2 linked regions of the Sus scrofa genome follow. The protein of the gene in region 1 interacts with the protein of each later gene in a pairwise test. Links are inferred from orthologs where the notes say so. Each region holds a gene or a part of one and is shown on either strand. Other genes may lie near its edges. The genes, in order: VAMP5 and ERGIC3.

Region 1 (7,776 bases):
ACGGCAACACTGGATTCTTAACCCACTGAGCAAGGCCAGGGATCAAACCTGTCACCTCATGGTAATTAGTCAGGTTCGTTAACCACTGAGCCATGATGGGAACTCCCAAATATATAATTATGTAATTTTTTTTTTTTCTTTTTTGGCCGCCCTGCAGCTCAGGGAGTTCCCAGGCCACAGATCAGATCTGAGCTGCAGTTGCCCCTTAAGGCTGAATCTGCGGCAAGGCTGGATCCTTAACCCATGGTGCATGGCCAGGGATCAAGCCTGCGTCCCAGTGCTCCCAAGACTCCACCCATCCTGTTGGGCCACAGCAGGAACTCCAGCACCTAAATATTTTTTTTTTATTTTTATTTTTTTGGGCCATGCCCAACGCAGGCAGAAGTTCCCCGGGCCAGGGATTGAGCCCTGGCCATGGCTGCAGCCTGAGCCACCACAGTGACAATGCCAGATCCTTAGCCTACTGAGCCACCGGGAAACTCCTAGCACTTAAACACTTAAATGTGTGGTGTGCGGGTCTCTGTTTGTACTCGTGGTCCAGTGGGAGGAGGCACTGGGTCACTCTGCCTTATCTCTTGCAGTCTGAGCACTTCAAGACCACGTCCCAGAAGGTGGCTCGGAAGTTCTGGTGGAAGAACGTGAAGATGATCGTCATCATCTGCGTGATCGTTTTTATCATCATCCTCTTCATCGTGCTCTTTGCCACCAACGTCATCCCTTAAAATAACTTAGGGAACCCCTTCCACCCTGCCCTCCTCTTCAGGGCAACCTTCCATAGTGGGTGCCGAGAGGGGCCCTCTCTCCCATGCTCCTCCACAAAGAATGCTGCTCGAGCCTCCCGCCTCTCACTCTGAGACCCCCGCACTGTCTGCCCCCGTGAGTACCTTGGTCCCTGGAAGGAGAGAGCCAGACTGTGGCTGTGTCTCAGGGGGCCTCAGAGGTGGTTGGAGAGACAGACCCAGAGGGCCCAGCATGTGGCTGGGAAGCTGATGGAACTGACGGTGGCCAGTGGGCAATAAAGACCTTTCTGTATCCCTATGCGTGTGAGGTCCTTTCTCCCTTTCCGTTTGGACCTTCTATTTCTTTTTCTTTTTAGTCTTCTTAGGGCCACACCCACCATATATGGAAGTTCCCAGGCTAGGGGTCGAATTGGAGCTGCAGCTGCCAGCCTACACCACAGCCACTGCAACTCAGGATCCGAGCCGGTCTGCAACCTGCACCACAGCTCAATAGCAACACTCAGTCAGTCCTTAACCCACTGAGCAAGGCCAGGATCGAATCTATATCCTCATGGATACTAGTTGGGTTCTTAATCTGCTGAGCCACAGCGGGAACTCCTGGCCCTTCTATTGCTTTTCTCTCTGAAGACCCTCTGGCAGAGTCTCCCATTGGAGGGCCAAGTTATTGGAGGGGCGGAGAGCATATATTTGAAGGAGAAAAGTGGAAATGCCTTGTCTTTCTTGTTTGTTTTGTTTTGTTGTTTTGGCGACCCCTGCAGCATATGGAGTTCCTGGGCCAGAGAATGCCAGATCCAACCTGTATCCTGGGGCTGCAGAGATGCTGCCAATCCCACTGCTCCACAGAGGGAACTCCTCCCTGACTTTCTTTATCTCTCCTTTCTCCATCACTGTCACTTGTCTCAAGAAGAGGAATTTTCTGGAGGTCTCAGCATACAGAAAATTCAAAACCTCCCCCAACATTTTAGGGTGGTATGTAAGACTCCCAGTGGCCCTCTCTTGCCATTTCCTTTGTTACTTTTCTGCGGGAAGTGTTAGCTGAGATGGGAAACCTACCTGGGCTGACCCTTTCGTCTGGTTAAGGGCCTCCTGCCCCTCCCATCAGTGCTCTTTCTCTTCCATGGCCCTATTGTACTCTAGAGGTGGGAGGTGGGGTGCGGGGTGTTGGAGGAACTGAACTGCTTTTCCGTCTCCTGTGGTTCTGCAAGTTCCATTTGTCTTTTGTCTGCCCCTGCCCTCCTGGAGCTTAGCAGGGCCTCTGGGTCTCAGCTGTCCTGAGGGGGCAAGCATCTCACGCGTGTCCCGTGGCCGGGCACAGTCAGTGTCACAGGACAGGGCCTATGGCCTTCCTTCCCCTCGACGGACAATGGGCCTCTCTGTCTTTGGGCCTCCCTCCTCCCTACCAGGTTCCATCGTCATTGTCACTCTTTCCGGTACCCAGTCTGCCTTGGTTTGAGGGAAGGGTTTTCATCATCTCTGTCCTTGTTTCCCCCATAGGTGTTCCACAATTGAACCTGTTTGGGGGAGGGAGTCCAGAAGGGCAGGGGTGGGAGACAGGATTTGAGACTTAGTACTGGCAAGTTGGGTTCTAGAATCATGCTCTGAAAACTAGGAAGGGAGGAAAGCACAGATGAGACCCCCACCCCAGTCTTTTTTTTTTTTTTTTTTCTTTTTTTTTAAGGCTGCATCTGCAGCATATGGGAGTTTCCAGGCTAGGGGCTGAATTGGAGCTGGAGCTGGACCTGCTGGCCTACGTCACAGCCACAGCCACGCAGGATCCAAGCCATGTCTGAGACCTACACCACAGTCCACGGCAACGCCAGATACTTAACCCACTGAGGGAGGCCAGGGATTGAACCTGCATTATCATGGATACTAGTCGGGTTCTTAACCTGCTGAACCACAACGGGAACTCCTTGCTGTGATCTTTGTCACAACCATGTCCATCCCCTGTCCTCAGTCCACTCCTGGACTGGAGCTCCGAGCAGCCTCAGCCATTGCAACCCAGACTCACCGTCCTGGGTGGGGGTGGGGTCTTTGTTCACTGGGATTCATCCAGGGAGAGGGAACTTTAAGCCTCCTTCCTTAAAAGGGGCCACCTCTGAGATGTTGGGGGTGGCAAGGGGTGCGGTGGAGAAGAGGTGGCAGGTGGCTTCCCTGAAGCACTGAAAGGAGAGGCTGAGGATGGACGGATCCAGCTCAAGAAGGCTCTGGAAGGACTGGACACACCAACCTCCCTCATCCTCCCATTGAGGAACAGGGGCATATTAGGGCAGGGTTGCACTTAGCACGTGGTGAAAGGGAAGTAAAGAAAAAGCTAGAACTAGGGTTGGGGAAGGGGCTCTCTGTTTTCTCTTTTGATTGAGGTGAAATTCACAAAACATACAATCGACTGTTTTATAATGTACAATCCAGTGGCAGGTAGTGTATTAATACCATTTATTGTGAATAAAATTTATTTGGTTTCAAAACTTTGAGGAGGTCGTTTTTAGGGTGATGGGTAATTTGCATTCATCAAGGTGGGCAGCGCCTAGCACAGGGCAGGGCAGTGGCACTCCTACAGGTTCCTGTTGAATGAATAAATGATGATGCCTCCCCAGGTCAACCCGATCTACCAGATCTGGGATGCAGCTCTAGAGAGGACTCCTTGAGCCCACTCCAGAGCCCACTCCAGCGGGCCCCCGAGGTGTAGACCTGGCACCAGGCTGTCCATGCAGAGCCCCCACTTCACGAGGCTGGGGAGTCGTTCGCGGCCGGGCGCCGGCGGCGGCGCAGGGAGAGGCACCGGCCCCGGAGCCCAGAATCCTTCGCCGGTCGCTTTCGATTTGTCTTGGTCACGGTCGCGGCGCAGGGATCGCGCGCCCCCCGCCCCCCGCCGAGCCGGCCCCGCCCTCCGTTTCCTCCCTGGTCCCTGGCACCGCGGCCGCTTGAGGGCAGAGGAGCCGGAGCTGACGAGGTGGCGGCAGCAGCGACGATGGTGAGAGCCCGGGGCTGGGCGGCGGGCAGAGGGCGAGCGACGTGGGAGTGCGAGGCGATAGAACGAAGTCCAAGGGCCCGGGCGTCTTCCCGGAACCCGCGCTGGTCCCCCAGCGAGGTAGTGCCGGCCAGAGCAGGACCAAAACAGACCCTCCGCTCACCTCGCGCATCCCGGGAGGGAAAGTGGGGCGTGCGCGGGTCCCCGCAGCTCCGCGCCAAGAGAACGGGACTCTGGCTTCCCACTTGAGGGGGCCAAGTGGTTACAAGCACCGGCTTCGGTGTCAGACTCCGGGCAGAGATCCTGTTGGTGGCCACTTACCCACTCTGTGACCCCGGGCAAGTCACTTAGCCTCCCTGAGCCTCCTCTTCCGCATGGTGAAGTGGGGTCAGCAATACCGACAGCCTTGCTGGGTCCTCGGAAGGTTAGAGGAGAGACGGTGGCAGAGAGCTGCCTGGTACTCAGAACCTGCTCCTGAGAAGTGGTGGGTAATATGATGACCTCTTCAGCCCTTCCTGAAGCTGTGAGGAGCCAAGTCTGGCCCAGGGCTTGGAAACCTGAGCAGATGGGGTGGTAGAGGCCATGCCAGCCCCTGTGCCAGGGTGTTGGAAGGCAAACTCCTCCCCCTGGGGAAAGAGAAAGGAAGATGTTTACTGTAAGCGTTCCACTGAAGTTATCAGGGGGTGGCATAGCCTGACTTGCTTCTAGCCCCTATCTAGGGACACATTCTTAAGTTGAGTCATCCCCCACTCCTGCTGTAGACTTGGGCCTCTGTTCCCACTTGCCTTCTCCAAGGCTAAGGTGTCAAGAATAGGTGGTACTGGAGGCTTCTCTCTGCTAGAACTCCCTGGAAGTTGGGCCCCGGCAGGCGCCAGCAGGCTGGGTACTGGGATTCTGCCCGTGGAAAGCCAGCAGAGGTGTGATGGATGTGGCCTGGCTGGGGGTCTGGATGCCTGGATGGCCTCATCTCCAGGGACCTGGAGGCAGGAAGAGGAAGCGGGGCAGGAAGGTAGCGTGGAGCTCTGCAGCCACGCCAGGAAACTGAGGGAGGCTGGAGAATAGGACAGACCCCAGAGCCCACTTCCCAGCGGGTGGAGCAAAGGATCAGGCAGGGTTAGGGTAGGCTTGCAGCTAACCCTTAAGCACTTGGAGAGAAGAGGAAACTCTGCAAGGCTGAGACTAAGATCATTTATTGGAAGGTACTGGAAAACTCTGGGACTCTCACAGGTTCATCTGAGGAAATGATGCATCTGAGCCCAGGGAGGGTACACTGATGCCTGTCTCCCATCCATCTCCTCGCTCCTTCCCTCTGTTTTTTTTTTCTTTTTTTTCTTCTTCTTCCAGTTTTTTGGTTTTTTTTTTGTTGTTGTTGTTGTTTTGTTTGTTTGTTTGTTTTTGGTCTTTTTGCTATTTCTTGGGCCACTCCCGTGGCATATGGAGGTTCCCAGGCTAGGGGTCGAATCGGAGCTGTATCCACTGGCCTATGCCAGAGCCACAGCAACGCGGGATCCGAGCCGTGTCTGCAACCTACACCACAGCTCACAGCAACGCCGGATTGTCAACCCACTGAGCAAGGGCAGGGACCGAACCCCCAACCTCGTGGTTTCTAGTAGGATTCATTAACCACTGCGCCATGACGGGAACTCCTTCTTCTTCCAGTTTTTAAAGTTTTATTGGAGTATAGTTGGTTTAAAAGGTTGTGATAATTTCTGCTGTACAGAAAAGTGATTCAGTCATACCTGTACACACATCCATTCTCATTAAGATTCTTTTCCCACATAGATTATCACAGAATACTGGGTAGAGTTCTCTGTGCTATATAGCAGGTCCCTGTTGACCAATCATTCCATATATCTCAATGCGCATGTGCCAACTCCAACCTCCTCCTGCCCCTCCCACCCCGTTCATCACTCCCCCACCCCTATTTTTTCTTTCACTCCTGCCCCTTCGTCAACCCCCGGCACTTTCCCTTCCTTCTTCACATCTGCCTTGCCTACTTTTCCTTCTTTTCCTTCCTTTCCCTTCTTTCCTCCTCTTCTCTGATTCACTCACATAACAAGTGTTTCTTGGGCATTTTCTTTGTGCCAGGCATGGTGACTGGCATAGGAAACAGAGTAGGAAGAAAATATTGATGGGAAAGACAGAAATTTAATGAGTAATGACTTGACATCATTCATCTCATAGATGGTCCTCTCTCAGGCCCTGTGCAAAGAATTTGAGTTTTGAGCCAAACTCACATGCACACAAGTTGAGCTGGCAGCATCAGAAGGTCTGGTGAGTCTTTAGCCAGCCAGCTAAAGCATTTGGCCTTTCTTTACCTGCATCCAGTTCAGCATAGGGGTTAAGAATGTGATTCTTGGAGTCGAAGTTGATTCAACTCTGAGATCTCCTTGTCACTGGCTCTGTGACCTTGGTTCGGTGACTTAACCCTTCTGACTTCAGTTTCTTATACGACAGGGATAACAGCACTTTCCCATTGAAGCACATTATTGTGAGGCTTAAATGAAATAAACAGCAGGAAGCACAGAACTTAGCTCAGAGTATGTGCCCACTGAATGGTGGCTGTTACCACTGTCAAGATGTAAAACCTTCTCAACAGTCTGCTGTGACTGATGGAAATAAACTAGATACAGGTTATCAAAGGCCAGTGTCAAGTTCTATATTTAGGTTAGAAACAAGTGCACAAGTTTGCAAAAGGGAAGAGCTTGCTTGGTTGTGTATTTTGTCAAAATGTCTAAGAGGCTTTATGGACCACAAGCATTGTGTAGGTACTGGGATCCGATAGCTAAAAAAAAAAAAAAAAAAAAAAAAAGGTAGGGAATCTTGGGCTACAGTGATAATAATAGCTATTATTTATTGAGCATTTAGTACAAGTCAGGAACTCTGGTAAAAACTTTATTTGTAACATGTCACATGCCTTGGCTGATATTATGGCAGATATTATTGTCACTACTTTATAGATGAGGAAGCGGAAGGTCAAAAAAGTCATATCCTTAGTCTTTAGTCACTTAGCCGGTGAGCGACAGAGGCAGGATTTAAAGGAACCAGGGCTGTAATGCAGACCCTGACTCTTAGACCCTGAGCTTAAGTGAGTGCTGACCCAGGAAGGAGTCGATACACCAGATTGCCGCCCAGGTACATTTTTTTTTCTTTTTAGGGCTGCACCTGCGGCATATGGAAGTTCCCAGGCTAGGGGTTGAATTGGAGCTTCAGCTGCTGGTCTGGATCACAGCCAGATCCACCAGATCCAAGCCACATTTATATGCACCTCGAGGCAACACTGGATCCTTAACCCACTGAGCGAGGCCAAGGATCGAACCCGCATCGTCATGGATGCTAGTCAAGTTCTTAACTGGCTGAGCCACAATGGGAACTCCAGTCTGAGTCCTTTTGAGGACGACGGTAATGACAGCTGAGAGGGGAGACCGGAGAGTTGACGGGGGAGGTTTTTGAGAGATTTGTTTTCAGAGCAACTGACTCTAGCCTGGAAAAACCTGAAAGGAGATTTGAGAATGGAAAGAGGGATATTCTGCACATGGGGTGACATTCTGTCAATTTCCTGTTTAACTAACACTTCCCCGCCTGCCAACAGCACTGCCTACCTCCCCCACCTCCAGCCTCGGAAATGCTTCTCTTACCCACCCTTCCTCTCCTCACCCACCACTCCCCCCAGCCTGGGGACATCGCCTCATACCCTTGCTGATGGCACTTCCCCACACCTTCTCGTAGCCTCTCAGCCTAAGGTTTTCCACTTCTGTCCATGCCTGCCCATGGCATGTGGAAGTTCCTAGGCCAGGATTCAAACTCTCGCCACAGCAGTGACAATGCTGGATCCTTAACCAACTAAGCCACCAGGGAACTCCTAAACTCTTTTCTCTAGTTATGTCATATACATCTCTTTTCCCTGGCCTATAGTGAATTTTTTCATTTTTTTTTAAGGGCTGCACCTGCGGCAGCATATGGAAGTTCCCAGGCTAGGTGTCAGATTGGAGCTGCAGCTGCTGGCCTACACCACAGCCACAGCAATGCCAGATCCCAGCCCCATCTGCAACACAGCTCACGATA
Region 2 (6,998 bases), on another chromosome or scaffold:
ATTTGAAAATATTTCTCCCATTCCTTATTGCCTTTTCATTTTGTTAATTGTTTCTTTGCTGTGCAGAAGCTTTTTATTTTGATGTAATCACCACTGCTTATTTTTGCTTTTGTTGCTTGTGCTTTTGAAGTCATGTCCAAAAAATCAATTGCCAAGACCAGTCTCAAGGATTGTTTCTTAGGTTTTCTTCTTGGAGTCTTAGGGTAGCAAGTCTTAAATTTAAGTCTTTAATCCATTTCAAGTTAATTATTGTGAGTGGTGTAAAATAGGGTACAATTTCATTCTTTTGCATGTGAATATCCAGTTTTCCCAACACCATTTGTTAAAGAGACTGTTCATTCCCATTTGGACCGTGAAATTTATTTATTTTTTTTTTCTTTTTTTTGGTCTTTTTGCTATTTTTTGGGCCGCTCCTGCGGCATATGGAAGTTCCCTGGCTAGGGGTCTAATTGGAGCTGTAGCCACCGGCCTACACCAGAGCCACAGCAACGCAGGATCCAAGCCGAGTCTGCAACCTACACCACAGCTCACGGCAACGCCGGATTGTTAACCCACTGAGCAAGGGCAGGGACCGAACCTGCAACCTCATGGTTCCTAGTCGGATTCGTTAACCACTGCGCCACGACGGGAACTCCTGGACCGTGAAATTTAAATGAGGGAAGTGAGGACATGAAAGGGTGATAGTGTCCATGATGTCAAAGAACTGGTGGAGTTTGGGTGCCAGAGAGAGAAAGCTGGGGAAATGATGATAAGATTGAAGACTAGGATACTTGAAATTGAATTTTGGAAGGTTAATGGTAATTGGTAATAACTCTGGGTATGAGTATGGAAATGGGTGTATAGGGTTAGATGACAAAATAAAAAGAGGATTGGAGGGCAGAAGGTCAGGGTATTGAATATTGAAATCACCAGTTACAGTGAGGTAGTTAAAGGCAGGGAGCCAGGTGCAAAGAGACCGAGGAGAAGCACCATGGTTAAGGGCATACACTTTGGAATTAGAGTTGAAATCTGCCACTTACTGGGTTGCATTAGGCAAAATCACCTTTCAATTCTGAGCCTCAGCTCCTCCTCAAGTACGATGGGAATAATAACCTCCACCTTCACAAAGTCATTGTGGGGCTGAAAAAAGACAATATATGTATATGTAAAGTACACAACTATACTCAGGTAATATTTAGTATTTGCTGTTACTGTTTTATTACTGTTACCTTTATTAAAAGAAATAACAGTGTAGAAATACTTAGTGCTTGACACTTAGTATGTACTATGTAAATATTAGCTATTATAATGTTTATTATTCTTAAGCCACAGGCTGAAGGGTGCATGCAGGGATTGGGAGTACAGATCTCACTGTGCCTGCCCCCAGCTGATACCCCTGCCTCTGCCCTCCCCATAGAGCTCGGGAAAGTCGAGATAAAGGTGTTTGACCCTGACTCCCTGGACCCCGATCGCTGTGAGAGCTGCTATGGCGCTGAGACGGAAGACATCAAGTGAGCCAGACTTGGGCAGTGGTGGGGAACAGCTCCCACCAGGCACTTTTCGTTGGTCATCCTCAGCCTGTGTTGGACCTTGGGGGTAGGGAGGCCGGACCAAGAATTTAGACAAGATGGTCACCGATGCTGGTGCAAGTGGCTGAGGCTCTGTGGCCGGGCCCTGCCTGGGGGCTGCAGAGCAGGGATGAGGTTGAAGTGGTCCTTGCTCTGTTTCAGAGGTAGTCTCTGGAGTCCAGCTGCCTGATTTCCACCCATGTGTCCTTGGGCCAAGCTACATAAAACCTCTCCTGTGACAGGGGATGATAATATTACCTTTCTCAGAGGGTCACATAAGGAGTAAATATATTCTGTTTGTGAAGCACTGAGCTGGAAGGCCCAGCCCGGGTTATTAAGCCCTCAATATGTGGCAATTGCTGTTTTGTTTCTTGGGCCCTGGCCCCTGAGAGGCTGATTCAGCTGGTCTAGGGTAGGGCCTGGGAATGTGTATTTAAAATTTTTTTATTTAGGTAACATATATATGAAATAAAATTTACCACTTTAACCATTTTCATGTGCGCAGTCCGGTGGCATTAACTTCATTCATAGTATTGTAAAGCCATCACTACTGCCTGGTCCAAAACTTTTCATCATCCCAAACAAAATGAGAATATGTATTTTTAATAGTCCTGCTGAGGAAACAAACTTTGAGAATGTTTGGTGGTCAGGAATGAGGCTGGCAAGGCTTCATTATTGGACAGAACCGCTTTATTTCCCAAGATGCCAGCATTATTTTTGTGCCTGTTTGACACTCTTACCCCTGCACCCCATCTCCGACAGGTGCTGTAACTCCTGCGAGGATGTGCGGGAGGCATATCGCCGTCGAGGCTGGGCCTTCAAGAACCCAGACACTATTGAGCAGTGCCGGCGGGAGGGCTTCAGCCAGAAGATGCAGGAGCAGAAGAATGAAGGCTGCCAGGTGTACGGCTTCTTGGAAGTCAACAAGGTACAGGAGGACCCGAGGCAGGACAGGGCCAGCGGGGCTGTGGGCTGGCCCCACTCCACTGTGAATCGAGGGCCCACTTGTCCTCAGGGGACAAAAGGAAGGGCGGAAACAGCTGGGGAAAGAGAGGGTTATCTCCCTTACAGGTGGCTGGGAACTTCCACTTCGCCCCCGGGAAGAGCTTCCAGCAGTCCCATGTGCATGGTAAGTGATCTGCATCAACCGGGAGCTTCACTTCCAGACCCAGGTTGAGTTTGAATGCCCCTTTGCCTGCCTGATGCTCTTTAGTCTTTGGCCCAGAGCAAACCCTCATCTCAGGGTTTGGTAACCAGTTAAGAGCACAGCTGAGGAGCCAGACTGCCTGGCTTCAGATTTCAGTTTTAGACCTTACTGGCTATTTGAAACTTGGAGACAGTTTCCTTTTTGAGCTTCAGTGTTCTACTTTATAAAATGGTGATAATAATACTGATTTCCTAGGCTGTTTGGGCAGGGTAAAGATGATAGCATGGGAGTTCCTGCTGTGGCACAGTAGGTTAAGGTCTGGTGTTGCCACAGCGGTGGCATAGGTCACAGCTGTAACTCAGATTCAGTCCCTGGCCTGGGACCTCCCTATGTCACAGGTGCAGCCCCACAAAAAGCCCAAAAAACAACAGCAAAAAAATCCTCCAAAATATGACAGCACAGAGCCTGGCTTGTGATAGGCATGTGTTTAAATGGTAGCCCCAATGTCAGATGACCTGTGTGTGAGGCTTTAGGGAAAGCAGAGCTGGTCTGGAGCCCAGGTTCTGCCTTCCCAGAGCAGTGTCATATTTGGGAAGTATCGAGTCCTACTCAGTTTCTCCTATAAAATGGGCCTGAAATAGTACCTACCGTACAGTTGTTCACAGGTGTGAGTAAATGAAATTTATTCTCATTCATTTATTCATCCATCCATTCTCTAGATATTTAGTAATCACCTGCTGTGTGCCATGTACTAGTCTAGGTGCTAAGAACACAGTAGTGATCAAAGCAAAGTTCCCTGCCCTCAGAACAGCCTAGTAAAGAAATAGACAATAAACAAGTATATAAATTATATGGTACATCAGATGTTTTTAAGTAACATGAACCCATAAGAGGCAGGATAAAGATGATGGGGGTGAGAGGCTTGAGAGAGAAGTTATGTGTGTGCCGTTTCATACAGAGTGGTCAGGGAAAGACTCTCTGATGGGTAATGTTTGAGCAAAGACCTGAAGAAAGTGAAGGGACCAGCCGCATAGAAGTGTGGGAGAAGCGTTTCAAGCAGAGAATGGAAATCCCTAAGGCAGGAATGGGCTTGGTGAACTTGAGGTACCAGTACCTTGAGAATTAGGGTGCCTGGGGCTCAGTGAGCAGAACTGCGGGGTTAGGAATAAGGTGGGAGTGACAGGGGCGTGTCAAGTGGGGCCCCCAAGAGCCTTGTAGGGACTTGAGCTTTTACCCTGTGCCAGATGGTAGGGCTCTGAAGGAGGCTGTGGCAGGGCTCTGAAGAAGTGGTGCATGATCTGATTTAACTTCAAAAAGTAGGAGTTCCCTTCACGGCTCAGGGGTTAACAAACCCGACTAGGATCCATGAGAATTCAAGTTTGATTCCTGCCTCACTCAGTGGGTTAAGGATCCGGCATTGCCGTGAGCTGTGGGGCAGGTCACAGGCATAGCTCGGATCCTACATTGCTGTGGCTGTGGTGTAGGCTCGCAGCAGTAGCTCCAATTCAACCCCTAGCTTGGGAACTTCTATATGCCCTGGGTGCAGCCCTAAAAACAAACAAAAAAGCAAAAAAACCCCACAAAACTTCAAAAAGTAGGCAGCATTCTGCTGTGTGAAGACTGTGGAGGGGAGGACAGATACCGCAAGGCCAGCTGGGAGGCTGTCGCAGTGATGGATCCGGGTGCCGGATGATGGGGGCTGGGCACAGTGGCAGTAGAGGAGGTGAGAAGTGATTGTATATATTTTGAAGGTAGAGCTGAGAGGAGTTCCTGTCGGGTGGGAAGGTAAAGCAAAGAGAATGACTCCAAAAGTTTTGTACTTGAGCAGCGAGAAGGATGAAGTTACCATTTAGTGAGGCGGTGAAGACTCAGAGGAACAGGTTTAGATGGTTGGAGTGGGGGACATAGAGCTGCTTTCAGCATGTCCTTTTAGATACCCAGGTATCAGGTAAGCAATGAGTTATTCAAATGTGGAATTCGAGGCAGAGGTCTGGCCTGGAGGTACAAATGTTGGAGTCATCAGTGTATTTAAAGCTGTGGAACTGGATGAAGGACCTTGCAGGTGGAGGTGAGGGTAGGTGGTGAAGAGGAAAGCTCAGAGCACCAAGCACTGGACCCCCAGCTTTAGAGGACGGGGCTCAGGAGGAAGCAGCGGAGGAGCCTGGCAAGAAACACAGAGCCCTGGCTTGTCCTGCAAGCCAAGAAATGGAAGTGTTTCCAAAACCATATCAGATGCTTCTGGATGCCAAGTAGAATGATCATTGGGGGTATAGCATGGTAGTGGTCTTTGTGACCTTAACAGAGCAGTTTGGGTTGAGTGCCAGGGAGCAGCCAGTGAGTGGGTTCAGGAGGGAATAGGAGAAGAGTTGGAGCCCATGAGTGGAGACAGCTCTTTTATGGGGTTTGTTCTAAAGGGAAGGGAGAGGAGTCCCCTGGTGCCTCAGCAGATCAAGGACCTAGCATTGTCACTGCAGTGGCTCAGGCCACTCCTGTGGTGCAGGTTTCACCCCTGGCCTGGGAACTTCCACATGCCATGAGTGCAGCCAATAAATAAATAAATAAATAAATTTTAAAAATAGAGGGAAGGGAGAGAGTGGGCTCTGGCTGGAGGGAAATAGGCAGTGGGGGGCGCGGGAGTGGTTTGTCAGATGTGTGATGCCGCCTGGTGTTAATATGCTGTCAGATATTACCTGCTGAGGAGGGCAGAAGTGCTGCTCCCGAGAGGGAGGACATTCCCTGGAGTGAGGTCCTTTAGGAGGAAGAGACAGAATCTAGGCCTTAGCTGTGTAGAACGCCCTTACTTGGCAACAGGAGGAAAGGCAGACTATGTAGGTATGGGTGCGTTGGCAGCTGAGTGACATGGCCACCAGGAGTTGTGACAGGGCCATCATCGTATAGGAGAGGGAGACAGTCACTGGCTAAAGCCCTGGAGAACCGGCGTGAGAGGACTGACCAGCAGGTCTGTGTGTGTCTCCGAGAAGTTCAGACAGATGGAGTAGGTGGTAGTGTCATTGCCATGAGCTGCAAAACTGGAGATTTTTAGGGAAAATCAAGGGATAGTGATCTGGAAATGGCATTGAGGAACAAGGAGAACCTCTCTTAAGGTTAAGGAGGAAGAGGGTATGGGAGAGAAAAAGCCCCTGCCTGGGGGGCTGCAAGGGAAATAGTGCCTTCAGGGAAGAGCCAGGCTGCGGTCGGAGCACAAAGGTGAGGGAATATTTGGAGGTTGGAGATGTTGGGGTTTTGCTGTTGAGTAATAGGGCCCACGGGAGGTCTCAGAGGGATGGGAGACAGGATCGTACTTGAGAATGGATAGAGCCATCTGGTGACAAGACTCCAGAGGATGTGGGATGACCCAGAAGTCTTGAGCTGACCAGTGATAAAGCTCAGCAGGAATACCAGGCCCGACGGAGATGGCCCTGCTGGTCTTTCAGGCAGTCAGGGGTGGGGGGGATGAGGCTGAGTGTTGGGGCGGGGCAGGTAGATAGATCTGGAGGGGCTGGGGAAGGGTGGTCTCTCTGAAATCATGGGAAGATGATTGATGTGGAGCTGTGGGCACAGCGCCAGTGGGAACTCAGAAGGGTGGGTGCTTCTCCACTTCTCTGTCAGAGTCAGGGAGCCCAGGACAAAGGGTGCACTGTTCCCTAGAGGGATGTTCGAAGGGAAGCTACAGTTGTCCATGGCCAGAGCCTGAATTGAAGGCCTGTGAGCTAGTTTCTGACATCGTGTTGATTTGGGAGAGGAAAGGGGAAGACTGTAAAGTTTACCAAGGACTTTCCCATCTTAGATCCTACCTGGTCCTCAGGACAGCCCTGTGCAGAGGAGAATACCAAGGCTCAGAGAGGACAAGTGATTTGCCCAAAGTCACACAGCTAGGAAAGTGACTCTTTGAGCTCTAGGTCTTTTGTCTTCCTAGGCCACCATACTTCTGCCCCAAGCCCCCTTGTACTCTTCTCTGGCCGGGGAAGGGCTCCTTGGGGGAGGGGCCTGAGGAGAGACTTATTAGCTGTGTCTGGACCCTGCTGCTGAGGCAGGAACAGTCCAGTCTTCCCTTCTACCATGTATCTTGCTCCATTGTTCTCATTGTGAAGCTCTCAATCTTTTTTTCTTTTCCTCTTCCTCTCTGCTTCCCTCCCCCATGCTGCAGTACATGCTGTGGAGAGTAAGTGGCCCTGCCCCCCAGCAAGGCCAAGCCCCCATTTCTGGGGCAGCCTGCCCACCCAGGATGGGGAGAGGTTTGGATGGGCCTGGGATGGGGTTCTTCTCTGGCCTGGCTGCTGGGTGGACTATAAAAAGCTGTGGGA

Evidence for each region.
Region 2: the proteins of VAMP5 (region 1) and ERGIC3 interact in binary tests that used the Homo sapiens proteins (3 or more experiments, as listed by UniProt). The link is inferred for Sus scrofa from reciprocal best matches to the Homo sapiens genes VAMP5 and ERGIC3.

The regions. Positions count from the first base shown.
Region 1 is NC_010445.4:59,181,162-59,188,937, reverse strand, and holds the start of VAMP5 (vesicle-associated membrane protein 5), read left to right. Parts: upstream 1-3,234; 5' UTR 3,235-3,711; coding exon 3,712-3,714; intron 3,715-7,776. Other genes in the region: VAMP8 (vesicle-associated membrane protein 8), read left to right, coding at 582-722. UniProt on the Homo sapiens protein: May participate in trafficking events that are associated with myogenesis, such as myoblast fusion and/or GLUT4 trafficking.
Region 2 is NC_010459.5:38,889,213-38,896,210, forward strand, and holds part of ERGIC3 (endoplasmic reticulum-Golgi intermediate compartment protein 3), read left to right. Parts: intron 1-1,396; coding exon 1,397-1,490; intron 1,491-2,309; coding exon 2,310-2,475; intron 2,476-2,618; coding exon 2,619-2,676; intron 2,677-6,841; coding exon 6,842-6,856; intron 6,857-6,998. UniProt on the Homo sapiens protein: Possible role in transport between endoplasmic reticulum and Golgi. Positively regulates trafficking of the secretory proteins SERPINA1/alpha1-antitrypsin and HP/haptoglobin.